Caenorhabditis elegans: one gene and its partners. The protein of the gene in region 1 interacts with the protein of each later gene in a pairwise test. Each region holds a gene or a part of one and is shown on either strand. Other genes may lie near its edges. The genes, in order: paa-1, T09B9.4 and T22D1.5.

What was found.
Region 2: the proteins of paa-1 (region 1) and T09B9.4 interact in a two-hybrid assay, tested with the Caenorhabditis elegans proteins (one large-scale study listed by BioGRID).
Region 3: the proteins of paa-1 (region 1) and T22D1.5 interact in a two-hybrid assay, tested with the Caenorhabditis elegans proteins (one large-scale study listed by BioGRID).

The regions. Positions count from the first base shown.
Region 1 is NC_003281.10:5,448,118-5,455,283, forward strand, and holds paa-1 (putative serine/threonine-protein phosphatase PP2A regulatory subunit), read left to right. Parts: upstream 1-2,612; 5' UTR 2,613-2,623; coding exon 2,624-3,132; intron 3,133-3,183; coding exon 3,184-4,043; intron 4,044-4,090; coding exon 4,091-4,308; intron 4,309-4,361; coding exon 4,362-4,441; intron 4,442-4,485; coding exon 4,486-4,577; intron 4,578-4,631; coding exon 4,632-4,645; 3' UTR 4,646-5,020; downstream 5,021-7,166. Other genes in the region: skpt-1 (F-box domain-containing protein), read right to left, coding at 1-4, 48-126; F48E8.8 (Hsp20/alpha crystallin family protein), read right to left, coding at 721-848, 896-1,081, 1,237-1,357, 1,403-1,519, 1,615-1,695; F48E8.4 (MRH domain-containing protein), read left to right, coding at 5,489-5,782, 6,049-6,202, 6,255-6,427, 6,868-7,166. UniProt on the Caenorhabditis elegans protein: Acts as a scaffolding protein for phosphatase let-92 and its regulatory subunits.
Region 2 is NC_003284.9:9,769,873-9,777,461, reverse strand, and holds T09B9.4 (uncharacterized protein), read left to right. Parts: upstream 1-3,109; 5' UTR 3,110-3,124; coding exon 3,125-3,188; intron 3,189-3,234; coding exon 3,235-3,295; intron 3,296-3,364; coding exon 3,365-3,698; intron 3,699-3,828; coding exon 3,829-4,388; intron 4,389-4,434; coding exon 4,435-4,664; intron 4,665-4,920; coding exon 4,921-4,990; intron 4,991-5,036; coding exon 5,037-5,304; 3' UTR 5,305-5,765; downstream 5,766-7,589.
Region 3 is NC_003282.8:6,901,582-6,907,774, forward strand, and holds T22D1.5 (EF-hand domain-containing protein), read left to right. Parts: upstream 1-2,368; 5' UTR 2,369-2,396; coding exon 2,397-2,447; intron 2,448-2,498; coding exon 2,499-2,644; intron 2,645-2,690; coding exon 2,691-2,895; intron 2,896-2,944; coding exon 2,945-3,060; intron 3,061-3,108; coding exon 3,109-3,608; intron 3,609-3,660; coding exon 3,661-3,818; 3' UTR 3,819-3,965; downstream 3,966-6,193. Other genes in the region: T22D1.8 (SRCR domain-containing protein), read right to left, coding at 1,217-1,284, 1,332-1,524, 1,570-1,744, 1,791-1,902, 1,948-2,043; T22D1.17 (Col_cuticle_N domain-containing protein), read left to right, coding at 4,416-4,589, 4,679-4,798; rpn-1 (26S proteasome non-ATPase regulatory subunit 2), read right to left, coding at 5,055-5,143, 5,193-5,334, 5,380-5,490, 5,537-6,193.

The DNA of each region.
Region 1 (7,166 bases):
AATACTTTGAAAAAGTCAATCATATTTGAATTTTGACACACAATTACCTGTCTCCACGCAATGCTCATTTTCAGAGGGTCCGTTATCTTCTAGAGTTGATGGAAGTCTTCCTATGACACGAGACATTTTGTTTGAGTAGATATGAGGTGTAGTATTTAGGTGGTAAATAAGGGAAAAAGCACTTTCTGCTTGAAATAAATTCAAAACAGGGCTGATTTGAATAAATATGAACTCGCGGGCGCGGTAATCTTTTTTAGGTTGGCGCGAGTTTTTGCAATGCAAACGCGCTCCACCGCAAATCTGAATTTTCGAACATTTTTCGCCAATTTTTATCCTTATTTTTTTATTTTTTGCAATATTTCGCTATTTTTATTTGTTTCTCCCACCAAAAGCGCACATTTTTAAATCAAAATACGATTAAATAAAAGTAATATAACTTTTTAAATAAGTCCAAATAACCTTTAAGCAAAGTAAGGGTCGAATCTGAAACTATTTCTTGAAAACAACTTTTTTGTCTCATTCATCGAAGATTGGTTGTATTCGGAAGTGAGAGGTTGACAAGTTTTTTAAAATCCATTTTATTAATTATTCCGAAATACACATTTAGTTCCAATAGTTTCGAAATTTAAAACGTTTGAGTCATCCTTCATTTTTTCTGCCTAGTTGCTGTGATCATTTGGAGAGAGTATAAGAATTTATTAATCATTTCGAAAAAAAAAATCATTTTTGAATATCCTGTATCATTCTATTAAACTTGAAGTTATTCGGCCGGTGTTGAACAATTTGCTCCTCATTGGCGATCATTTCGTTATTCTGATTTCTTCGATTATAACGGAAGGAGAGTGGATCTGAATTTACAGTAGATTTTAAATTGGTTTTTCTTGAATTTCCTCACCTAATTTTTGTAGTGGAACAGGCGCTATGTCCACCGGCTCTGCAATATTGTTCAAGCCGATCGAGCGATTTGCGTAGAGATTTATTTCATTAAAGATATAATCATCTGACAAATTATCTGGCACCCCTCGTTTTCTTTTAGAAGTTTCCTCGATAGGTTCGGTTACAATTACATCGGTTTGTTGAGCTGAAATAGGATCCAAATTATCAAATATCCTTCTCTATTCATGTTATAAATCTTGGTTGTAAGAACAGTTAACATAATTAGTAACAATTAGAAACCTGATGTGATTAAGATTCTATCACTGTTTTTAAATAGTAAAATAAATAATTTTGACATACGTATATTGATAACTTCTCCTCTTTGTAACGCCTCAATCAATGCATCCAAATCAAGATCTCCATCACCTTGAGCCTCACGCAGTGCTCTCTCCTTTCGAAGCCTTTCCTTCAGTCGTTTAATCTGTCATTAAGCCACTAGTATACACCTTGGAGAGCCACCACAAACCTGCTCGGCTCGTCGCCGTCTACTTTCCTTATCTATCTCCTCTTCACGCTTGCCGTCTGCCCATTTGTTGAAGCTGAATGTGTTGAACACATTCGCACCGTCTCCCATTGTACTGTTCTGTAAATATATAAACTGAGCTAATGAGAAGAATACGTACTAGAGCACCACGCTTTTGCGAAAAATGAGAACCAAAAGCTCGATTGTGCACTCACTTTTGCATATTTTATTAAAGCTTTTGACGTCCTTTTCTCTTTTGTTCGCCTGTTTGAAATTTTTGAAAACCAGGAAACCATGATGATTTTAAATGTTTAATGATGTTCTTCTAACAGCATGCCCACGCGTTTTGCCTGAAAATTCGAATCAAATTAATTTTCAGCCTTTTTATTGTTTAAATATCAGAAAAAAACTGGCTGTTCACTAATCACGTGATGCCTGTGTTTTCATCCTCCCTTCTACACTGAAAATATTCTATTTTAAGGACATTTTCAGTCATTTTCCGGCGCTGTTCCCTCTGTCGTCGCCACGTCCAGTACACCGAAACCGACGACAAATCGATGAGAGCTCTACGACCGCAGGCGCGATGGATTGTGCTATTGCAGTGAGAGAGAGATGGCCGTTCTCTGCTTCTCTGCGTATCACTGTCGCAGCTGTTTCTCTTCTTCTCCTTTCGCCGCTCTTTTTTTGCATGTTCGTCAGGTTCACTATAGCGATTTCTTAATATCGAAATTTCACGAGTTTCAGAGTTGATTTTCGAAAGATCAGTGAAAATATTGTCCACGTGGTAGAGTTTTTCACTGATTTCTCGAAAATTCCAATAGTTTCTTTAAAAATCACACTCTTCTTCTTTGAACAATTCCATTTCATTGATTTTCTATATTTTCGTACAGAAATAATAATGTTTCAACAAAAATATGTTTTCTAGCACTGAACATTCTTAAATTTGAATTTAATTTTCTTAATATCAGATATTCAAAGATGACTATTCGTAGATTCTGCAAGTTCTTTCAAAATACTCAATTTTTCTATTTTCTCTCCAATTTATTTCTCCAAAAACCACCCGGTAATCAATATTTCAACACATTGCTGTGTTATCTTCACTGCGTCTCCTCTCTCTCTCTTGTTCTCCTCATGCCCGATGATAATCCGTTTCTCTTCCCGTTCTTTCTCCTTTGAATAGCCGCGAGATTAATTTTCATAAAACAAATTTCAGCACTCTTCATCATGTCGGTTGTCGAAGAAGCCACTGACGACGCGCTCTACCCGATTGCCGTGCTCATTGACGAGCTGCGCAACGAAGATGTCACGTTGCGACTGAACAGCATTCGCAAACTCTCCACAATCGCTTTGGCGTTGGGTGTGGAGCGCACACGCAACGAGCTCATCCAATTTTTGACCGACACGATTTACGACGAAGATGAGGTTCTGCTTGTGCTCGCCGAGCAACTCGGAAATTTCACTCCATTGGTCGGTGGTCCAGATCATGTTCATTGTCTTCTCCTTCCACTTGAGAACTTGGCCACAGTCGAGGAGACCGTGGTCCGTGACAAAGCCGTTGAGAGTCTCCGCAAAATCGCCGACAAGCACAGCTCGGCCTCATTGGAGGAGCATTTCGTGCCGATGCTCAGACGTTTGGCCACTGGAGACTGGTTCACATCCCGTACCTCGGCTTGTGGGCTTTTCTCTGTTGTTTATCCACGTGTCAGTCCAGCTATCAAGTCGGAATTGAAGAGGTGAGAATTAAGAAAAGAATAACTAAAGCAATCTAAATTAATTATTTTCAGCATGTTCCGAACCCTGTGCCGTGATGACACCCCAATGGTTCGCCGTGCTGCTGCTGCAAAGCTCGGAGAGTTCGCAAAGGTGTTTGAGAAGACTGCCGTCATCGAGGGTCTCCACTCCAGTCTCACTGATCTTCATGTTGATGAGCAAGATTCTGTTCGTTTGCTCACTGTCGAGTCAGCCATCGCTTTCGGAACTCTCCTCGATAAGGCTAACAAGAAGAAACTCATCGAGCCAATTCTCATTGAATTGTTCGATGACAAGTCGTGGAGAGTTCGTTATATGGTTGCCGAGAAGCTTATCGAGATTCAGAATGTCCTCGGTGAGGATATGGATACCACACATCTCGTTAACATGTACACGAACCTTCTCAAGGATCCAGAGGGTGAGGTTAGATGTGCTGCCACTCAGAGACTTCAGGAATTCGCTCTCAACTTGCCAGAGGACAAGCGTCAGAACATTATCTGCAACTCACTGCTCAACGTTGCCAAGGAATTGGTTACTGATGGGAATCAGCTCGTCAAGTCGGAACTCGCCGGTGTCATCATGGGACTTGCTCCACTGATTGGCAAGGAACAAACTGTCTCTGAGCTTCTCCCAATCTACATGCAGTTGCTTAACGATCAAACCCCAGAAGTTCGCCTCAATATTATTTCCAGTCTTGATAAGGTCAATGAAGTGATCGGAGCAGCTCAATTGTCCACATCCCTCTTGCCAGCCATCGTTGGATTGGCCGAGGATGGAAAATGGAGAGTTCGACTCGCAATTGTTCAATTCATGCCACTTCTTGCTTCCCAGTTGGGACAAGAATTCTTCGATGAGAAGTTGCTTCCGCTTTGTTTGAACTGGCTTACCGACCATGGTAACTTGATTTTTTCTTAAAAATGTTTTTAATTTAATTTTTTCCAGTGTTCTCAATCCGCGAGGCATCGACCCTCATCATGAAGGAACTGACACAGAAGTTTGGAGGACAATGGGCTAGCACGAATATTGTACCAAAAATGCAGAAACTTCAGAAGGACACCAACTACCTGCAGAGAATGACATGCTTGTTCTGTTTGAATACACTCAGTGAGGCGATGACTCAGGAGCAGATTCTGAAGGAGATTATGCCAATTGTGAAAGATGTAGGGAAATTTTACTTTTTTATTTAAAGAAATCGTAATTTTTCTAATTTCAGCTTGTCGAGGATGACGTGCCGAATGTCAGATTCAACGCCGCAAAGAGTTTGAAGCGAATTGGAAAGAACTTGACCCCAAGGTGACAGGAAAATCTTTTTCACTATCCCAATTTTCTATTTTCAGTACATTGACGTCCGAGGTGAAGCCACTGCTCGAGAAGCTCGGAAAAGATTCAGACTTTGACGTTCGATACTTTTCAGAGGAAGCCAAGAACTGTAAGTTTCAGTTGTCTTAAAATTTAGAGTGAATTTGAAATTGAACATTTTCAGCACTCGGCTTGTAATCGAACATATCGCTAGTCAAATTGGAATCTCTACATCTTCCACTTCTCAATCGTCTTATTTTTCCATTTTTGTTCCCGAGCACGCGAATAATCTCTATCTCTCCTCATTCATTTGTAAATGTTTAGCCCTCGAGACAAAACTCTGTATTGTAATAGTTCTAACCACCGTCCCTCCCACAACAAAACAATACAAATTATAATCGTTAAATTATGCGACCTCTCTTTATGATTATTTTCATTTTCCTCCCACTTCTATCCCGTATATTTCACCATCCTACTTCTTTCTGTTCTTTTTCCACCACACACAATCACCACTTTTTCCATTGCGACCCATTCATTCATTTATTTTTTTTGCAGAATAAAAGGTCATCGTCTATTATGAGAAAAAAGGTCTCAGGTTAGGTTAGATCAGTGTGGTTGAAATCTCTGAAAATATTTGGAATAATGGTGTTATCCGGCGTATGCCACGTCGCAGAAGCTTTTGAGCAGAGAATCTCGGTGCTTTTGCAACGTGGATTAAATATTGCTCAAGTTGCAAGCGTTGTGAAACGTCTCATTCAAATAAAAAATTTACTTTTGCCATTTGGAACTTTGAAACCATCTTTTTGGCCGTTTGGCAAATCCAGCTGGCAAAGAGCGGGCATAAATTTATATTAAACGCGCAGTTTCCCGATTGATTGTCTCAGAAACTTCCAGTGCTCAGATTTTGCCACGTGGCTAGAAGTTTTCGTTGCCAAAATTATTTTTTCCAATTAAAAAACTGTTCGCATTTACTTTTCAATTTTTCAATTCAATCGGAGAATTGTTTACGTAGTTTCTCTTTGCAGGTGCTATGCCAAGACGATGATAATTTATTTCCTCCAACTATTCCTGCTGCCGTCCACGACCGCCACGGCAGGCGTATTTGACCTTGCAGAGTACCGACGGGTCTCTTATGACGCGAATATTGGCGAGAATTTTCTTTGGTTCGCCCCGGAATTGGATATTCGAAAAGTTACAGCCAGCAATATTGATGATCTCGAAAAGCGAATTGTTAATCGGATTCCCGATGACTCGACCGAGCAGAATTTGATGTTTGTGACGAGTAAAGGAGGGCAGAAGTTTGCATGTTCTTTGCCAGATGTGGAAGATGTTAAGGTACACATTTTTAGATTAAATATTGTGCTTTGTTGTAAAAATCGGCAAAAATTTGTAGCGTGTTGTTTACAGTTGACTTTAGGTGTTCTTTGTTTCATTACAGCGATAATATTAGTTCGAAAGTCACGTTTTCGAGTTTTTCGCTTAATTTTTTAAATTTTCACCATAATTTATAAACAATCAGTGAAAATACGCTAATAAGAGTTTTATTTCAGTATTCAGACATTAAAAACGCATAAACGGTCTCAAATATTGTCTGGTTTCAGAAAGACAAACCAAAAAGCAGCAAGAATCCGAAAATCTATGGAGACGCGCTCGCCGCAAGCTTTTACGTGGACAAATGTGTGAAACTACGTGGTAATCACTGGTGGTCTTATATTCTGTGCCGTGGACAGACAATTGAGCAAGTGCACGGAGAACGTGAGTGTCAATAATAGGAAAATAAACCAATCAATATACATATATATTGCAGCTGGTCAGGAGGGATATGTAAAGAATATACTCGGATTGTTCGATGGAAGTCTCAAAATGCCATCCTATCAAGAATCAACGGATGATCGATTGCTTTTCGTCGAGGAAACGTACACGAGTGGGACTTTCTGTGATTTGGAGGAATACAGGGAGCCACGGATGACTTCTGTTCGGGTATTATATTAAAAAAAAAAGACATTTTACCGCTCTAACTACGGGATTGTTACTTTAAAACGATTTTTGAAAAAATGTATACAACATTTTTTACTTTAAAATACTAATTTAATTTTTGAGAGAAATATCAACATGGCTAAAAATCTTCATTTTTTTTGGAAAGTTCACTGATGTGTTCCATAGTTTTTTAGACAATTTTTAAAAAGCATAACGTACTGAAATTCCAAAAATAAAAGTTAAAATCTAGGCTAAATTGGCGAATAAAGTGTTTTTAAAGTAACAGGAAAATAAAATTATTATTTATAAAATTGTACTTCAAAAAAAAATCAATTTTAAACTTCAAAAACAGGGAAAAAACTACCAAACAACCTTTCAAACCTTGGTCCCTATTCAAAAACCACAAATTTCTCCTAAACAGCTAATACTTTCCAGTTTTTCAGTACGAATGTGACGCCCAACTGAGTACCAACGAGGTATACATCTCTTCAGTTGTCGAAGTGAAACCATGTCAGTACTTGATGATTGTAAAAGTTGGAACCCTCTGCAGATATCCGGAATTCTTGCCCGCAAGCCAGTCAAATACCAAGAAAATTGGATGTCAACCATTTTTGAGAAAAGAAGATGTTCGACAATTGTTAGAACGACAGCTTGAGGAGAAACAAAAGGCAGAAGAATCACAAAGAGTATTGACAGTGAAAAAGCGAAAATTCCAACGAGCTGCTGAGAGATTCAATGCAAT
Region 2 (7,589 bases), on another chromosome or scaffold:
CTTCTCGCCAAATTGGATTCGCAGAAAAATTGGCTGCCTCGAGCAAACATGTTTTTGGTATGCATGGGTCAAGAAGTTTTTAAAAAAATTTCATATTTTCACTTATGGAGTAGAAAAAACAAGATCAAAGAAACATTTTTTTAAAATAATAGTTTCAAATTCAAGATGAACATAATGAACATCCTTGATTTTGCTTCATTGAAGGTCCACGTCATGTGTAGGCTCATAAAGACAGGAACGCAAACCTTTTCTCGAACATTTCTTGTCGGGAAATGGACATGCACAATCTGGAAAACATGTTATTGTACTCATAAATCCACTCAAATTTGTTCTAACATATCATATTCGGTCATGCAGCCATCCGAATTATACCGCTTTCTTCTAAAATTTTTTTTTGTTCAGTGCAATTTTCAAACTTTTTAATTAAAACTTCATAGCGTTTAAAAGGTCGCATTTTGACTTTTCTTCATTAAAAATGTTCTTCCTTGTGCCTATCATATCATTGGAAAATTATTTTCTTCAACGATGTTCATTTATTGATTATTTGAATCCAAACAGTGTAACTTTTTGAACATATGAAGCTGCTTTAAATTTTCTAAGAAGGTCAATTTTGCGTAAACTTTCTCAGTTTGTCGAAAGTTTAAAAAAAATTAAAATTGTCAATTACATCTTATTAATTTCATGATTTTTTTTTAACAAACACCAAAAATGTTACATTGAAGAATGTTCTTATAAGCAATAATTAATATATCAAATGATAATTTCAACTTAATAAATGGATTAAAACTGATATTCGCATATATGTCGAACAAATAGAATTAGTTCGGATTAAAACGGGGAATTTGATTCTTTGATCGACAAAGTCTTTTTTTTTCATTTCCAGTGAAAATAATTTTTTCACTTTTCAATATTCACATTCCCACTGTTTTTAGACTGACAACGTTGTTTGATATTTGTAAATATAAAACAAACGCAATCGATATATAAATATCTGGTTTTTGCATTTTATGACACCACAAATTTTTTATTATCGCCAAACCTTGAAGTTTAAATACGGAAATATTTAAATAGAAATGGAATTATTAAAATCTTCCATCCATTTCCCAATCCAGTTACATAAAATCATATTTGTTCAAGACGCATTTTCCAAGATTTCGGATTTCGTCCCGTGTTTTTTTTAAATTTTTAGTTTGATGAAGTGACCGCTTTCAGGGATGTTGAAAAATATAAATTCTGAATGGAACTTCAGTCTCCAAATAAATTCATAATGTAAATATAATTCAAAAATTTTGATGTATTTCTGCTTTGTCGGTTTTTTCTTCAAAATTCCAATTCAGCTCAGATCACAAAAAAAGAGCCCTCGCGTGTTCATGAAATGTCAATTGTCCGGGCCACAAGCATAAACCCACAAAGCGTTCAATTTCCACGCCGTCAACGAGTGCCTCCACTTCTTAACGCCTTCAATTTTGCCGCTCGACATTTTTTTTTTCACGGCAACAGAAAATGAATGTTCTTTTTCCATTCAAAATTTATGTTTTATACATTCGTTTAAATTTTGATTTTTAGTTTTTCAGGCTCAAATTATTGCTTGCAAAAATGCTCAGCATGAAGATAAGGAACTGCGGACAAAACCATGTAGTAAGTAATTTTGATAGTTTCAATTTTGCATCTAAAAATGGACTGCCAATGAAGAAGTTACTGCTGTAAATTACTCAAAAAGAGGCTTAAGTGAAGATATTTAGAATTGGAGCCAAAATTTTCAAAACTAGTTTTTTGTATTTTCTTTCTGACACTGTTTAACATTCAGAAACAGTAATAATTTGCGTTCAATTAAAATTTCTCATTTAGATTTTGAAACATAGAATTTAGGAATATATTCAAATTGAAAACACGTTTGCATCAGATTTTTAGTTTTAATCAATGTTTTCTTGTTCTTTTTTGGTTATTTCTGGCATACCGTGGTCAATAAATTCATTTAAAGACAAGATAATAACAAGTGACAGTACATCTTGATGAATTTTTTTTCTGTTCATATAAACTCAATGTGACATTTCAAAAAATATTGGGATATTATACATCAAATCTATAAGTACAATAGCAAACATACTCTTTTCAAAATATCGCTAACTGTAGGAGATTTCAACGTGATTTTGATTTATTATAAGTTTATGATAATTTTGAATAAATATTTTTAAAAAAAAGTATTTTATTTAAGTGCCTTCGTTGTTACAAAACCGTTCTCCTTAGCTTTAGAGTGTGATATCATTCATAGAACGGTTTAAGAAAAAGCGTGAGAACCAGTCTATGTGCAAACACTCAAAAGATACCTAATCCACTTTCATTACTCATCAGTCAACTGACCTGTCCCAAATTTTAAAACTCTCTCTCTCCTTCTTTCTCACTTGGTTTCTCCCTCTTACCCTCGTTGAGAATGGACAATTCAGAGGGTCACTTTGCCTGTCTGCGTGTGAGTGCATTGTGAGTATTTTTTGATGTTGTGAGCGGGTGTGCATCAGACAGACTCTCCTACGTGGCAGGAAGGGTACGCAAATCTCCTCATCTCATTGCCTTCATTTGCGTTTCTCATTTTGTCCTTCTTTTCAATTTGGGGGTGGTATTTCTTTTTTCTTGGTTTCACTATAAGGAAAAACAACTCGTCAATTGTTTTTTTTTGTTCAAAAAAATCTCAACCGGGATTCAAAAGTGGTCTAACAAAATTTTTCTTTAAAACTATCACCAGCCTAAAAACGTGTCGTCGAAAAGTGCTATCAAAAAACAGAAAACGTTTTTGAACGGAAATGGTTTGATAAGCAACGAATGTCATTGCTTTTTTTGATTTTCAAATTATCAAAATGATATTGTTCAGCCACATTCTTTTAACAAAAAAAAAACGTTTGGGAAAAAATATTAAAAAACCCCCCTGCAGCAACACACCAATCCTCCCTCTCTCTCTCGTCTGCAGACACAAAAATGCAAGCGCGCCCTACCGAACAATGTCTCCCCCTTCTTTTTTTCGAACGCATATGCATTTGAACAGTCGTTCGTGTGCTCATTTCTTTCTAGTCTTTGCCAATCCCTTGCTGTTTCCAGGCTAAATTCTGATTTCCAGGTCAAAAACCTCATAATGGAGCACCCAAAGCGTCCAACACCCAAAAACGAGGCTCTGCACATTGATGCATCAGGAAGAGGTTGTTTTTTTACTTTTCTTGTAAAATCGATAATGATTAATTTCAGGTGAATCATCATTTTCTGTTCACCGAAGCCACTCCGGCGGTCACGAACCGTTTGCTCCTAGGTATGTGCACAAAGTTATTTTATGTTCCGTAAAGACTGCTACTGACGTTTTAAATTTGATAAATTTTAGCCCAGGATCGTCAATTGGTGCCAGCGTATCCATGTTCTCCTCCCGCAATTCCGAGGCCGAGGTTGGCGACGCTGAGGATCTAGACGGAGTTCGCACAATTATGATGAACATTGGTGTTCCCGATTTGCTTGCCGACAGGGAAATTCAAATGAGATACCCCGAGTTCTACCAGTTTTTGCTTGCTGAACAGCCAACGTGGTTCGAACCAGCACCGTCTAATGGAACTGTCTACCGTGTTCATCATACGACACCGCTGCCTGATAATCACAAGAAACTGCGCAAAGAATTGCCATTTGAAATGCTTGATCTCATGTATCGCTTTTTCCGTCAAAAGGTGGGACTTGGTTCATTTGTTTATTGATTATCGACTTTGAAGATGTCTCACCTTTCATTCAAGCAAAACTTAAATTGAAAAAAATAACAATGAATTTTCATTTGTTGAGTTTATTGTTTCTTCCTTACAGCACGTCAACTCTCAGCGAAAACGCGAGAACAAGGAGCTCCTGGAAGCAAACAAGCAGCTCCGCATTGCTGCTGTCCAGATGTTCACCAAAGCCGAGCAAGAGGAAGAATATATCTCCAACTCTTTGCTCAAAAAGATCCAGCAATTGAACCAAGACAAGGATTATCTTGTCAAGAAGTACCAAAAAGATGAGGAGTCTCTCACCAAATCTCTCATGGCAAATGTCGCCAAGATACCCGATGTTCATGGAGATGAAGCTGCTGCCGAGAAGCTTATGGCTGACAAACAAGCAGAGATAGAGCGTCTTCGCACGTACTGTAGCCGCGCTGAAAAAAGCTATCAGGAGGAATTGATGCGCCTCCGTGCTGAAAAAGTTGATCATGAATCAGCTTTGGAGCAGGAGCAAGAGTTGCTCATCAATACACTGGGAAAGAGAATGAGCCAGATGAACGAGGAGAAGCGGAAGTTGCAACAAGCATTGGAAATGGCCTACTTGAACGGTTTTGTCGATTTCGACGACACTGTCGAAGTGGCACTTCATGCATCTGCCTCCCAGAAGTAGTCAGTTTTAAAAATTGTTGTAGCCAGACAAATAAGTTTTTTTCAGTAATGGTAACTCGCCTAATGTCAGCGCCAATTCTCCAGTGGTCAACACCAACTCGCCCGCAGTCAGCACCAGCTCGCCACTTGTTAGAAACACTGACCAACAGTCCACTTCTTCTTATCGTCAGCAACTCAACGAAACTGCCCATTTGCACATTGAAAACAAAAAGCTTGTTGGAATGTGCAATCAGGAGAGACGTCGATCGCAAGCTACAGAGGCTGAAGTCAAAAAATGTTAGTGAAAAAAAATTTGAAAACATCTTGTTGTTATTTATTGAATTACTAAAAGTGCTCTTCCTATGTTAAATCAAAGGAAACCTATGCATGTTTGGGATGGATCAACATAGTCTTTATCTCTTTTAAGTCTTTATCACCTGAATGGAAGTTCAAAGAGACGTTAAGGTTGCAGTTCTCAGCCTACATTTATCTCACTTTCAATTCAATTTTATTCGTATTTATTTTGTTTACCAACAAAATATCTTACTTTCAGTGAATCAACGCATGTCGAAGATGGAGGCTGTTTTGGAAGCTATTCGTATCGAAGCCGTTCGCACTGATGGGTTAGTTTACTTTTAAATAGGTTGAGCGAACAAATAAAAATTTCAGACCTCTTGCTTGGCGACTTGCTGCATTGAGCCATGACAACAGCATAGATGAGCCTCCTCATCGAATGCTTGCCGAGAGAAGAGCACATGGATCCTCTCCTCCGACCGTCGTTGTTCAGCCTAGCACAAGCCGTGCAGGATCGAACTCAACTGCTAACATCAACAACGATACGCATCCGCACGCTCAGGTTGCACCGATCCTGGCAACTGTGCACCCAACTCAGAGAGCCACTCCGGCTAGAAATGAGAGACCAGATTCTCATTACTAGACCATATCCCCCGATGACAAAAAAAAACACTTCCCATGCACATTTACTCGAATACATCATCCGACGATTTGTTTTATAGAACCCAATGCTTAGCTAGCCTTGTTCCCAATGAATTAATCACTTTGTCCCAATAATCATTAGGTATACACATTTACATGTGTCTTTCCCTCAAATATGTTAAATCACATCCAGCATCCCTCCACCGGTCTTTTGTTCTTTTAAATGCTCCTGTTCATTATACCAAGTAGACTCATGCTTAACCGCTTGATGCATAATGTTGCGGAATATTGAACATACACCCATCCCACCGCGTCTTCCCGTCCCGTTTTATATTTTCATTCGGTTTTATGGCTCCCACATTTATTCTTGAAAGCTTTGAAACGTTGATTTGATTTTTCATTGGGCTGATTCGTTTCTCTCATATGGATCTGTTTTATCGATTCATAAAGTAATTTTCCTTGTTCACTTGTTGGAAAAGCATCAAAATATGTTTTTTACAGGGCTAAAGTTGAAGTGAAATCAATTCGCATAAATCATGCATAAATCAAAAAATGTCAAAATCTAATCGGATTTTTTAAAAGGCTGTTCGTAATTTGTTAATTTAGAACGGCAGTTTTAATATATTTTTTAAAAATATATTACAGTGTTAAATTCATGGGAATTATTGGGATGTAGTGGGGTAGTAGTAATTTTTGAAAACATTTAGTGAGATAATGAAAAAACAAATCGAATTTATTTTGAATATCAAACACACAAGTAGTATAAAATTACAAATTCCATAATGAGCAATTATTGTAATGATTTTTTTAAATTATTTCAAGCTATTTCAAAATCATTGTCAGTCCCTTTTTAAAACCAAATGTGATTTTTCTCAAAAAAAAAAAACCAAAAAATCTCCGAATAGAAAATACTTTCAAATTTAACAATTTTCAGAGTATCATGTAAAAGTTGTTAGACGTTAATCGGAAAATTGTCACAATGTTATGAATAATTGCAATAAAAGGTTTTCAAATGTCTGTTGAATTTTTATTAAAATACTTGGCTTTGATAAATTAACAATATCAAAGCACTGTGTCAGTGTATAAATAGTAGTGGAACGGCTAATAAAATACATTAGAAATTAACTTATTTTTAAAAGAAGCCTTCACTCCCTTGCGAAAATATTGCTTATCGTGTACGTTTTTTTAAATGTACGTTCAATACAAATTTTTTATGCATTATGCAATCTAAACTACTTTTGCTCATTTTTTGAAATGATAAACAAGTATGAAAAAAAGAAGAGAATATTGTTACGTTATTACGGATTCGAAATTTGTGTGCTATTGTTTTTATCACTGCGTCAAAAATTGTTGTTTTGATAAGTAACTAACTAGCAATACATTTTCAGTTAAAATACCAATGTACCACCACAATCACATGAAAGACAAATATGGGTACTAACAACTTTCAGGATGCCCATGTGTAAAGGATTAGGCGGTATTATGTGTCACCCCAACCACTAATGACTAAATTTAACAAAAAAAACAATCAGAAACGTTTTATATGTTATGCAATTTTTGGTTTTTTTTTTGAATTTGCGAATTTAGTAACGAAAACATGGGTTTTAAAGAGTATACACAAAATTAGTACACTTTTATATGAATCAGACGATGAGTTGTAGTACAGACGGAACCTTCGCACCATCTTTTTTCACCTATTATTTTGTCCAGCTGAGTTTTTTTGTACGGAGTAAAATGAAAACCTAGCATTATGTTGCCACATGACGTAGATTTTACAGTTATAGTTTTTGGAAAAAAAACCCTGGTAAAACCGTTTTTGACAGTAGCGAAAGAAATAGTTTTTTGAGATTCAAAATTCTTGTTTTTTTAAAAATCCGAGTTCACAGTTTTTACTTGTCAATACTCCCACATAAAACAATTGTTTGAGGGTAAAAATCAAACACTTACTCTTAGTTTTAACTATTATGAACATTTTTTCACTTCCTTAAAAATGACACCCAGGTTTATCAAATGAACAATTTGCGATAAAAATTCCATATTTTTGGAAGTTAATCTAACTTCGTTTTTATCCGGTCTGTACAAAAATAACTTGGTATCGCTGCTCACTCATTAATAATACTATCTATTGGAAACATGTTTTAAATGTCTAAAGTTCAAATCAATATTTGATTGTTTCATGGTAACGTTGTCGAAGTGCTTTTCAATATTATGTATGTGTTTACTGTGAATAAATGTAGTGTTTTCCAGTTCTAGATTGTATGAATTCTCGCTTATAGAGTAAAAATC
Region 3 (6,193 bases), on another chromosome or scaffold:
CGTATAACTCGAAAACTAAAGATTGCAGAATATGTATATTCCACTAACATTTTCTCTATTAAGATTTTATAAGTTTATGCGTTGTTTCTAAAATTTCATTTTCCACTTTTCAAATTAAAAACGTAGAAAAAAGCACAGAGCAAAGCATTGATTTCTACAAATTCTACAATTCTACAAAAAAAAAATTGAAATTTAGAAAGTTAAAACATTTCGGGGGGAACGAAACCCATAAGTACCATTGTTTTCAAGTTGAAACAATTTTAGTCGGCAACAAATCCGGCGGATGTCGGCTGTTCTAACTTTTTTCGACAAGGTGTGTTATGGATAAGAAATCGAAAACAATGTAAAATAAATGATTTGTAGCAATTTGTTAGTATACATATTCTGCAATCTTATGTAGTTTTCGAGTTATACAGATTTTAACAACTCAAGTGAATCAAAACCGAAAGTGCACAAAATGTCAGTACTTCAGGTCGCAATGCGACCCAGGTCGCTAGGTCGCAGGTCGCTAGGTCGCAGGTCGCAATGCGACCTAAATGAAAACAGCGACCTAGCGACCTAGGTCGCACTCTTGCCACCCCTACAATAAAATGTGAATATTCAATGTTCTCCACCTGGTGGAGAACATTGAATATTCACATTTTATTGCTAGTTTTTTTTTTGAAAACGTTGAGAAGGATGCTGGAAACCTTTAGAAACTAATTAAAAACTTAAGAAAATATTGGCCTAAAATATACAAACTCGGTGAATGTCAAAGGGAAAACTACCGTACCCTATAGTGTCCTAGCATTAAAGTACACTCAGTAGGAGATTTTATAATCACTACAATGCTGCTATAATGGGCAAAAATCATAGTAAAACTTTTAAAACCCTTTGATTCGTTTCATATTTACAGTTTAAAAAGTAAGAATTTCGAAGTTTTCACATTTTTGCATTACATTTTAATTGTTTGAATTTTAATATTTCAAGAGTTATATTTTCACAAAGTTGAATTTTTTAATATATTGGCGCAATGTTAAGAATAAGTTTCTCAAAAAAAAATATTAGTGAGATATCATTTAGCTATACTTTCATGAGAGTATTTATACAAAAGCCCAACTGGTGTTACTCTATCTTATAGAAAAACCAAATATCAAATCTACCAGATAAAAAAGACGGAAGTACGATAAGTTACGGTTGGTAACGTTACATGGAAAAGTAATATTTTCGAACTTACTCTAATTTCAAGTCTATTGTGGGATCTCCTGATTGATCTATGTCAAGCCTGTGCGGCTTTACTAGATGCTAAAAAATATCGACCAATTAAAACAATCATACTGCACACTACTTACTTTAGATCGTTCCCATTTTTCTGTTATTGTAAGTTCACCATATCCAACATTAACTTTATGAGCTTTTGTATGGTTTATAGCTTTACTTTTATCAACGTATCTATTGTAAATTGATAATTCTAAAAAAACTTGTTGCTCTGATCCTTTTTCCATATCTTCGATAATTGCATTAGATAGTTGGAAGACTTCCATTCTGAAAGCTATTAACATATTTCCATTTTTTGAATGTAATTCCTACGTTTTATTTTCCATTTTCAGTTTCAAGTGCAATGTGTCTCCGAGATGAACTGGTTGTGTCATAATCACACCATTTGGTATTTTGAGTTCTTCTAATTGATTATCTGATGAATTTTCAAAAACACACATTTTAGGACAAAAATCTGAATGAGGTGTACAGTTTCTGAATAGTTGCTCTAAAATAAAGTCTAGATTGAGAAATATTTTTAAAAACTGTTTTACCCTCAAAAAATTCCCTATTTTCATCCGTCAACACTGCAAGATTTCCATTGAGACTTTCGCAAACTTTTTGAGCATCTTCAGGGAATATAGCTAGTTCTGAATCTCCTACGAGCTGAAAATTACTACTTTTTCGATGCTAAAATTGAAAAATGCTCACCTTCAATTCTTGAGAACTTGCTTGGATCATAAACATAAATATTGTCCCGATAATCAGATTCCACCAATATTTTTGTATAACTGTTTGTTTATTCATTGTTATTTGTTAGGAAATGAATTGAAATGTGTTTACGTCTCTATAAAATGGTGTAAATAAATATTTTATCAAATGCTTCACGTGTTTTTAGTATTTTCTAGGCCTATTTTTTTGATTTTTGTAGTTTTCAAAGACACATGTCGCCACTCGTGAAGGTCTCGCGCGGAACGATCTACAGCTAGCCTCGAAAATTTTATTTTTAGTGACAAATTGTTTACGAAAGTCCATTTTAGTTCTTTTCTGCGTTTTATTACATCTTTTTCACTTTTTTATCCAGAATTTTTGTCTCAAATCAATTATAACATTTTAAGCATTTGCTTTTCAGTGTTCAAATACGCTCATCCCACGTGAAAATGAGCCAGCAGATTCAGATGAAGTCTGTTATTGATGTGAAGTTCCCGACGGTATGTTTATCAGCTCAGGAGAATATACTTTTCATTCTTGGAAATTTTCAGCATCTGTTTTCCCCGCTTGCCACGTCATCACCAAAACTCACGAGAATGAGAGCTCCGATTCGCGATCAGTCGTGGTCCTCTTGCTCGGATGACTCCAGCGGAAATCTGACGTCTCAAGCAATCACTGGAGTCGATGATTCGCACATGTTTGTTGAATCATCAGATTTATTTAAACATGATTTTTTGTTACAGAGAAGCGACGAAACTCGAAAATGAAAGCAGTACATCTTCGTGCTCAATGCACACTGCTTTGGAGTTTGTTAACTCATCAATTTTCGAAAGAGTGCGGTCGTATTCAGAAGTGATCACACGCGAAGAATTGCAGTCAGCTATTTTCGAGCGGAAACTGACTGAAACGGACTGTTCAAAGGAGGAAGCTGAAATGTATTCGATCATTGTAATTTTCTATTTTTCTAATTTAATTTTGTGTATCGATAACATTTCAGGTCACTGAGCGTATACTCTGGACTGCTGGGCGAACGTGGACGGGAACGATTCAAGTTAAGACTAAAGATCTTCTAAATGACTACGTGCGTTATGCATGCGAGGATTGGTACATGAAGTAATCGGCTATAATCTCAGATTAGTCATTTAATTATTAAAATTGTAGGCACACCGGACAACTCTGCGCAGTCGAGCTCAATCATATTGGCAAATGGGATGAGATATTTGATTCGAATGCCATCGCCATTTACTGCTACGAAACCGGTATTCCAACAATAATCGTCGACCGAATCTTCTCGAGTAACCTAGTGCGTCGTTCAACGGGAAACTATCTCGATACGAAAGAAGTGACGTGGCTCATATTTGCGATGATTGGGACTGACGAGAATCAATCGATCGAGTATTGGTTCCGCGTCCTTGATGTGCAATCTACAGGAATCCTTCAATTGGACGACCTGCGGATGTTCTACGATGCCATCACAAAGTTTCTTGTCAATAACAATGTGCAATCCCTGCCGTTCGAAAACGCTATCGCTCAATTTCGGGACATCCTTGGCACAGACAAATGGAATCTGCAATCATTCAAAAAGAACTCGCAACTTGCCTTCAGAGTGATCAATGGCTTTGTCTGCGCTCTTCGCTTTCTTGAGCAGGAAATTTGTGAGAGTATGTTTTAATAAGATAAAATGGTTGTTTATGTTAATAACACTGCTTTCAGAAACGAACACCGAACGCCAAGATGATGAGGAATTTGGGATGGTTCGGACTCGTTGGCAACGTTTGATCGACCACAAATTTGACGATTACTATGCTCAATCCAGCACGTCATCATCAGGGTCGTTCAACATCAATAACGAACCAATAAATCCTGTTTAAGTAATCCTAAAGTTTAATCATGTCAGATAATCATTCCCTATTGTATTTAATCGCCTGGTCCCATATCTTATGTGCAATTTTCACAAATTTCAGTATTCTTGTAAAATGTCAGGCGGATTCATGTAAACAATAAGATTGTTCCTGCTCATCTCGTTTTACTGAACCTGCAAGAATATTTTTGAAAAAAATTAATGGGTTTTCAAAACGATTAGATTGGTGGGAAATGTTAAAAACTATGAAATGGGCTTATAACATTATTTGTTAGATTTTTGTGCCGGAAATATGGTGACCGGGTCTCGTTACGATAATTTTTTGCTAAACACTGCACCTTTAAATAATACTGTGATTTCAAATGTTCAAACTGTTTTTTTTTGAATCACAAAAAGTCTAAAAGTTTACACAATTCACTTCTATAGTTCGTCAAACTGGTTAGTCTCTACAAATATCTCTAAATCTCTTCACTTTTTCTTATCTTTTATCACCTGTTTTCTGTAGTTTTCAATTCTTTGTCTAATTGTATTGGTCATTTGCTTCTTCTTTCTATTACTTTTCCATTTAATACATCAAATTTTGAAACTTTATAGTTTTTTCGAAACTATGAATACATCCGAATTTTTATACAAATTTCGTTTCATCGCTGATTTTGCTGCTATTGGAATTTTATGTTTTATGGCAATTATGACACTTGTTGTTATATATTTGACAAGTGATATTATTAATGAAATTGATGAAATGAAAGATGTTTTTATGGATAAAAAGGCTACTTTTGAGGTGAGTGTAATAATTCATTAAACTTTTCTAAAAACTGAAAAACTAAAATTTCCAAACTCACATTTGAACATTCTAAATTTTATTTCCAGATGTATGCGAACGATGCTGAAAATCTAATGTCGAACAATCGCCACCTTGACGGATTTTCTGATATATTCGATACTTTGATAAGGATACCTAGAAGATCTTCAAATTCCTGTGATCAATAAATATTAATACATATATAAAACCCAGGATGATAAGATTGAAAGTAATAATTTACTCGAATACCGTCCCACTCAAATTTAAAGTGTACACGTTTTTTTCAAAGAAAAAATGATGAGGGAGAGGGAAAATTGACAGAAAAACGGGAAATCGGGCAGAGAGCGAATGCAATCGGATTGTGCACAATAAAACGGGTCAAAACGGATAATTTAGATGGGAGAAAAGGGGGAGAAAAATAAATTAGATCCATAAATTTGTTGGTTACTTCTTAGTTGATACAACAACCGGCTGATAATCTGGATTCTTCTTCAAAATAACCAATCCTTCAAGATGTGGAGTCACAGAGAGATCTGAAATATTTTAGTTAAAAATTAATTATCAAATGTTAGGATGGCATACATTCATCGTTCGCCAACTCGGCACGTTCACCATGGGCAAGCAAGACTGGCGTAGTATGAGTTTGGAATCCAGTGATTGTCTTTGGCTTTCCGGCTTGAGCAACAACGTCAACGGCTTGACCAACACGAACAGAAACGTTCAACTGTAAAATCACATTGGAGAGTTGAAACTTTTAAAAAAATTATACCTGTTTCAAGCTTCCAGGCTTCATTTCGTCTTCTACCAGTGTGGTAAGCATTCTTGGTTGCATTGCGAGCACCAACGTGTAGAGCAAGTAATGCTGACGGTTGTTGAGAATCTAAATTTGAAATAAATTATGGTAGAAATATCAATCTTGCACTAACCGTGTTATTGGCGTCGAGGAAAGAGAAGCAAATTGAAAGGAGAGAAGCCAAAGCACTTGGAGACAATAATTGCCTATCAGAATGCCATGGGTTCAACGTCATTGTTCCTTTTCCGAGATGAGTAAGTCCTTGTGCAATTCTGACCAGCATTAGAGAAACTTGATCCTTGTAGTGATAAGAAGCCAGGTTTCGGAGCATAGCAACAAGACGAGCATTGTTTGTTCCTGCTCCAACAAGTCCCATCGCGAAAATAGCATTGTGAGCGGTATCAGCGTCAGAATCGTGAGAGAACTTGGACAGAGTTTCCAAAATGTTCAATTGAGGATTTGAGACGGAGAGAAGTGACAACGCCAAGGGAACAGCACGACGGATAACTGGTTCTCCATATCTGATGAGATGTCCGAACATGCGAAGAGCCATCTGAGATCCGATGTCATCTCCCATAGCAATCAGACCAATTCCGAGTACAGCAACCGCCTGTTGCGATGACAAGTCTGGCTTGGCAGGTGGTGCTGGAGTAGCGTCGGCGGCAGCAGTCTCTGGAGCTCCTGGTGTAGCAGCACTTGCGGCTCCTGGAAGGTCGCGTCTCGGAGCAGCTGGGGCAACGGCGGGTGTTCCAGTTGGGGCTGGAGTGCCAGCGACGTTGACATTTCCAGG